2 linked regions of the Yarrowia lipolytica genome follow. The protein of the gene in region 1 purifies or fractionates together with the protein of each later gene. This does not show direct contact. Links are inferred from orthologs where the notes say so. Each region holds a gene or a part of one and is shown on either strand. Other genes may lie near its edges.

Region 1 (3,718 bases):
TCGTACATCCGAGCCCTCGAAATATGGTCCGTCCCAGACATTCAAAAGACACACATGACCGATGAGCTCGAGTACCACAGCTTCATGCAGCACATGTACGCCTCCCGGGTGATGCGACAGGCCGTCATTCTGCTAGCCAAGAAACTGCTCAACCCAGACCTCCAGGAAACATCAGAGGAGGTTGTAGGACACGTGACCGCGGCCGTTGAGGAGCTTAAGTCCATCGAGCTCGGCTCCTACGTGTCCTGTATCATTGGCTGGGCCATGGCCATCGCCGGATGTGCCGCCACGGAAAAAACACACCGAGAGCTGTTCAAGTTCCGCGTCGAAAAGTTTGGTGAAAACTCCAGAGCCGCCATCTTCAGACAAGTTATGAAGCTTTATGGGCTGGCCTGGGGCCTGGGAGAGGACCAGAAGGAGCTGGGACTGGACATTATTTATGAGAGAGACGTGCTGGAGAGTATGGCTTTGTAGGATGGCCACCATGTATTGTACTTTAACTAATGTATTTATTCACTATTGTACTGACAATATCTTCAGTCTTGTTCAAATCATATCTTTCTTATATACACGTCATCTATGTCATTACTGCCATAGTGTACAAGCACACCGCCTACGCTCGTACTCGTCTAGTTAACCCAGTCAAGAACCTTGGGCTCGTTAGGATCAGGCTTGGTCTTTCGCTGCATCACCTCCTTGACCTTCTCGCTCACACCAGGCTTACCAGAGTACTTGTTAGTAAAGTGGTTGACAACCTCGGCAGGGGAAGCCTTGTAATCCGACGATCGGGTCTCGCCCTTGATGTACTGCTCAATTTCCACCTCTCGGGGCAAGCCAAAGTTCCAGGGGTACTGCTTGTAGGTATCGTTGATGACCACCTCCATCTCGTCGTTCTTGGAGCCGGGTCGCTTCTGGATAAACGACTTGACAATCTCGGGAGTCACGCCCTCGAAAGAAGAAGGCTCCCACTGGGGCTCTCGGGCAGGCTTGTCAATGAGCTTGGCGGTGACACCTTCAATGAACTCTCGAGAGTGCATAAAGTTCTCGGCGTAATTGCACTCATCGTTGAACACGGACTGAATGTCCTGGTTTCGGCCTCGTCGCAGAGCGGCAAGAGTCACCTTGACAGAGGTAGGGGATCGCTCGCCCAGGAGCTTGATGATCTTCTCACCAGCCTCACCCTCCTGCTTCAGAGCTGCCACAATGTCCTCAATGGCGTCGTACTTGAAGGTTCGGTCGATCAGAGCTCGGAACTCGCCGCCGTACTGGAACTTGAAGTTGGCAGGCACCTCCGAGTAGTCGTTGAGCAGTGCGTTGAGCTGGGAGTACAGCTCGGTGGCGTCTCGGCCCTTGGGGATGTCCAGAGAAGCGATGGCCTTCTCCAGATCGTCTAGTCGAGCGGAGGGGATGTAGTGGGTGGCGAAGCCGGCAGCCACAGCCTCGTAGCCCTTGAGTCGGGACGAGGTCAGAGCCAGGAAGGTTCCAAGCTCTCCGTCGAGTCGGGGCAGGAAAAAGGTGCCGCCAACGTCGCAGAAGAAACCAATTGAGGTCTCGGGCATGGCCGAGAGGGTGGTTTCAGTGGCCACTCGGAAGGGAAGGTGCATGGAGACACCCAGACCTCCACCCATGGTGATGCCATGGTTGAGCGCAATCACGGGCTTGGGGTAGACGGATAGCAGGAAGTCCATGGCGTATTCCGTGCAGAAGAAGTCTCTGGATTGCTCAATGCCCTGGGCGCCTGCAGCGTTCTGCTTGGCAAGAGTAGCCACGTCACCTCCGGCACAGAAAGCCTTGTTGCCGGAGCCCTTGAACAGCACGACATTGGCGGAGTCGGATTTGAGCCACTCCTTGAGGCGGGGGAAGATGGCTCGGCACATGGGGTCGTCCAGAGCGTTGAGTTTCTTGGGCCGGTTGAGGGTGATGGTCCGGGTGGTGCCGTTGTCGCTGAAGAGTACAGGCGACTCCTCGGCAGCCGCCGTGGTCTGTGACATGAATCGGGTGTTGATTTGAGCTCGCAGGGGCATTCTAGTTCGGGCTAGTGTTCGCAACATGTTGGGTGTGCTGGGTTAGCTTAGTCTTTTAAGGTCCCCATGTTGGGTGGTTAGGGTAGGCTGTATTGTGGTGGGGTAATCCAAGGCGGAGATAAACAGGTGAGATGGTTCGTGGGGGGCGCACAGGACATAAGCACAGACAAGAGACAGCGGTCAAACGCACCGAGTCGATTTCGCGTGCTGGTTTGTGGCCCCTGTCTGTGTCTGTCTATGCATCATTGTTCTTAGCACTGGCGTCTAGTGTCTAGTGTCAAGTAGCTAATGTGGCTTGGACCGTCCGTCTGAGTCTGAGTCTGATTGTGTCTACTCACATTGTGATGTGTGTCGCACTGTCGTGTACAAGGTCAAGTAGTGGTGGTTTGGAAACACCCCATTAAGTATCTCTGAGCCACCACCTCCCTCCCACAACTCGGCCGAACGTCGGAGCTCTCTTTGTGTCCCTTCCTGTACAGTGTGTGGGGTAGACAGACACACAGCAATGTCTCCAGGCACGGGGGTATTTGATTGAACCGGTTCGCGCAATGCGGGCAAAAAAGAGCCGACCACAATGCGACACGACACGTTTCCAGAGACTTCAGCACTTTTCTCCATCACAGCTCAATTCCGCCTCAAGATGGAGACGTTTGCAACACCAGGGGTTGTATGATGTACCACTCAATGTGAGCAGAATTGCTTTCAATCTTGCTCGTGGACTTGTATAAAGAAGATCAGAGCTGCTACCAGCTCTTTCCCTCGTTGCTCTTGTCCCTCATCCTCCTCTTTGATACTCACGCTCGGTCTGTGATCGGAGGAACAAATTATTTTACCTTTGAAGTTGATTGTGGAACTGCATCCAAATTTTACCCGTGCCCGAGAGATGGATGTGGGTTCGATTTCGGGTCGACTCAATTTAACGCGATATATTTCATGTGCGAAACAGACGAAAGATACGACGAACAAGTGAAAAGACATGGGAAAGACGTTGAAAAGTAACATCAAATTACTGCAACACATCAAACGACTGAATTTCTCTACCGTTGTTGAGGTCATTTGGCCATACCTCCTCAATCAATGGGCCTAAGAAGACACCAGAAATCTCTGAAAAAGGACCTTACAACTCTGAAATTTGAACTGAAAAGAACACAATTGTACAAGATACAAAATTTCCATCGTTCAGGACTTTAACCTCCTCAACACCCCCATTCAATCGCCCATTACAATCACACCTCGTATCAATCACTGCTCCACTCTTACTATACAAAACCTTGGGAGAGCACAAACCAAGAGCAATTCGACAAACCGAGAGCAATTCGACACTATAAGTACGGTAAACACAGAGTCGTTGCGCTTCCACACGGTCCCTAAAGACCCCAGATGTCTGATAGTGTCTTCAGGTCCGTCCAGCCCAACCTCACAATGTCGTCCAGAACTCGTTCAAATGAGAATATTCCAGACTGGAACCGGGAATGTGCACTTTCAAAGCCAAATTAAACTGACAGTAAGAAGCTCAGCCTGTTCGTGATGGTCCAACTACCTCATCAAGGGACCTCCATGGTGACATTCATTTATAGCCGATTGATTAGTCAGCGAGAGTTTAATACCTTTTATGGTTCTCGGCTCTCTCTCTTTTGTTCCGTGGAAAAGAGGACTTCAAAATAGGCATGCTAGGTCCGTTTTCGACGCAAAAA
Region 2 (3,468 bases), on another chromosome or scaffold:
CGAGATCCGACAATGTCTGGATCTGCTCATGACCAACGAGCTGTCCAAGGAGTACAATAACCCGCAGATCCGAATGCGACGGTACGACCGAATCAAGCCTGAGGTCGCGCAGCAGCTCATGGATATGTCGCAGACCATGAAGCAACCCCAGAGCCCCCAGATTGGAGGCGGTACACAGCAGAAGCCGACTTCGCGGTTTATGCGAATGTACAGGAATGCGTCTGGTGCACATGAGCCTTGAGCATAGCAAGATGACAGCTTATGTACTACTGAACAAGACCACGATATATAGATTAACATGTATGATATGATTGAACATCTACTTCAGTGCAGTCAACAGCGTTGTTTTCATTCCACCCCACCACATTATCGTACTACCTACTCGCACCATACTCAGACATTACAAGTATGTATTGTATCGTAGAACGGTTCCAAAGTCTTCATATTTCGATTCTCTATAGAAGAGCTCAGTACATGCACAGTCTCAATTTTGTTCTCACTACTAGTCATATATCTCGATCTGCTCGAGGGTCACAGTGTCATTCTGTTATTCAATACACTGGCATTCTCGCGAATACCTCTCATTCATGGTCTCCTATATGTACATTACTCCTTGTGGGCCTCTCCGGAGGAGAAAGGGTCCTCGGTCACGTCATTTTCATCGGCAGCCTGCACAAGATTCTTCTTCATGTGCAGAAGCTCGGCGTTTCGTCGCTGCTGCTCCTCGAACCGTCGCAGCTTGTGTCCCTTCTCGGCTGCTCGAGCCAGCACTCCAGTGATCAGATCCGTGGTTCGGAGAGAGTCATCGTTGGCGGCAATGGGGTACGACAGCTTGGAAGGGTTAAAGTTGGTGTCGGCCACTCCGACAGTGGGGATGCAGGACTTGAGACACTCTCGGATCAGAGCGGGGTTCTCGTCGGGGTTGAGGATGATAACCAGATCAGGTCGCATGTTAGGGCCCGAGATCTCTGCGTCAAACTCTCGGCCAGTGTGCTGGTTGATGTCGGCAAAGCTGGTTCCAGACTCGCCGTCCACCACCTCGTATCGTTTCCAGTTGGCGGCAATGTTGGAAAAGTTGGTGATGGCTCCAGGAATCCACTTGGAGTGCACGTAGGAAGCGCCGCATCGTCGCGACATGGCCTCGAGCGCCAGCTTCTGGCCGTCACGGGTGCCGACAAACAGAATCAGACCGTTCTGCTTGGCAACAGCCTCGGTGATTCGAGCAGCTCGTCGCAGCTGGGTGACGGTCTGCTCAAGATCAATGATGGAAATGCCGTCTCGAACGCCGTAGATGAAAGGCTGGTTGTTGACGTGACCGAGCTCGACGGCATGGCCCAGATGAGCGCCGGCAGCCAGAAGACTGGTCACGGTGGCCTCGGTGCCACTCTTGGGATGCTTGATGATATGGAGAGGATCGTAGACGCCCTTGACCTCGGCTCCCAACTTGCTGAGCATATCGTGTCGGTGCTGTCGTCGCAGAAACAGCTCCTGCTTGGTGTACTCCTCATCTCGGGCGGTTCGCTTGAGCAACGGGAAAATGGCAGCAATCTTACTCTGGTCATTACCCACTCGGATGTTCTTACTGTCGATTCGGCCCATCAGGGAAGACAGATCGGCCTGGGGGTCCCCGCCGGCAGCGGCGTTTTTGGTGCCTCTTGCCTGTCGTGCAATCTCCTTGACCTGCTCCAGCTTCTCACCGGCCTTGAGAGCCTTCTGGAACTCCTGGAACTTGGTGGACAGCTCCTGCTCCAGCTCGGGAGACAGAGGGACATCGGCAAAAGTCTCGGCGGGGGTGACCCGCAACGCTCGCAGGTAGTCGTAGGACTGGGTCTTGGAGCCGACCTTGGCGAACGGCGACTTGGTCGAGTACCGTCGGATAGATCTCAGCATGTTCGGTGGTACCCTGTTGTTTGTGCTGGTGCTGGAAAATTGGAAATTTCACCTTGCACAAAGGTAGGGTAACATTGGGAGGTGAATCAGCGACAGAGGGCTCTTGGATGTGGGGTGTGTTGAGTGCGATATTGAGGGAAAGATAACGGGGCTTTTGAAGGAAATGGAACGAACCGGTTACGTGATAGACGATGGAGGTGACCACTTGGTTTTTTTTTTTTTTTTTTTTTTTGGTTTTTTTTGATTCAAGTTGGACTGTGTTGTGTTGATATCAGGACTATTGAGAGATTCTGTATCTGCAGAATGCTGATTATGTAAGTGAGGAAGTGACCAAGTGAGAAATGAGGAAGAGAGTGATCTCAATACTGATGAGACCTTGGAGAAAAAGGGAAAAGACGTTAATCAAGTGTTGTTTCATGGGTATTGTAACTACTGATCTCGTTCTTTTGGTGATTCTCGTGGAGACCACCGTGGTAGTGACCCTCTTGCCGATCTCAATACCAATGGATGAGAGAAAACTCGTATCTAGATGGGTTTCGACAGATACTGTTGTTCAATTAGATAGGAAATGCTTGTATATTCATCTGGTTTATGAAAAACGGCTGATTGAGTGTCAATCCCGTGGTAATCAGATGTTACTGACTACATTGTTGATTCCTGCTCTACTGCTTGCCTGTAGTCTGCGATTTCACTCCAACTAAAACCTAAGTATATACAAACACTGGAATATGGCGTTGACTGCGACTACTTGACAGTATGTAAGGGAATGTGGAAATGATGTTACATTATTCGAGTAATAATGGCTTAATTGATGATTTGAGGGTCTTCACACTTCAGAAATAGTCCAATGATCCCAAATTTGAGACTCCAGACCACTTACGGCCTTAACTAAAGTCTAGTTAATTCCACGAGTGCAACATATCCCAGACATATACTGGGTCAGAAGCCGCCAAAGTGCGTTATTTGGATACCAGAATGATCGCAATGGTCCAAATAACACGCTGGTGTGGTTATAAATGCTCCCTTAGGGACTACAACTGGAGTTGTGATCACTTCCCTTATTCTGCCAGGCCGGGTAACCCCAAAATTTCACTTGAGAAAACAGACTGTTTTCAGACATGTTTATATGTACTGTATTTACGACTGTATACGACTTCTACCTACTACAACTCACAATACGGGGAGGTGCTCAACGGCCTAATGTATTATCCCAAGAGGTGCGGTTCTTTCACCTACTCCCCTTGATTAATTAACAGCATAGGTTCGGTCAGCCTACATCCTCCTGAGGAGGTTCAACTGCCTACGTCCTATTCACATTTTCCGACATGCAACATGTGTACAGCACTCTGGATGGCTGTCCGTCCGAGTTGATTGACTCAGGCTTGGATCTGGCTTTCACTGCTCTTTGGACTTACTAGCTCTGTTCTGTGGTACTGGCTCTGGCTCTGCTCTGGCTGGAGGGACGGGCGTTTGGCATTATTGCCGTGTAGGACTCATTGGCTCACTCAGACTGTTGCATTGCTCTTGACCGTGGAGGTGTCTTACGATCTTTGCTCTAGTGCGTCTCGGCTGGCTTCT

Evidence for each region.
Region 2: the proteins of YALI1_D07981g (region 1) and YALI1_F17431g purify together in Saccharomyces cerevisiae (affinity purification with mass spectrometry; 4 studies listed by BioGRID). This does not show direct contact. The link is inferred for Yarrowia lipolytica from reciprocal best matches to the Saccharomyces cerevisiae genes EHD3 and MRP4.

The regions. Positions count from the first base shown.
Region 1 is NC_090773.1:796,053-799,770, forward strand, and holds YALI1_D07981g (mitochondrial 37S ribosomal protein mS47), read right to left. Parts: upstream 2,052-3,718; coding exon 630-2,051; downstream 1-629. Other genes in the region: YALI1_D07945g (uncharacterized protein), read left to right, coding at 1-474.
Region 2 is NC_090775.1:1,741,222-1,744,689, forward strand, and holds YALI1_F17431g (mitochondrial 37S ribosomal protein uS2m), read right to left. Parts: upstream 1,891-3,468; coding exon 607-1,890; downstream 1-606. Other genes in the region: YALI1_F17383g (uncharacterized protein), read left to right, coding at 1-241; YALI1_F17444g (uncharacterized protein), read left to right, coding at 3,216-3,224, 3,271-3,468. UniProt on the Saccharomyces cerevisiae protein: Component of the mitochondrial ribosome (mitoribosome), a dedicated translation machinery responsible for the synthesis of mitochondrial genome-encoded proteins, including at least some of the essential transmembrane subunits of the mitochondrial respiratory chain.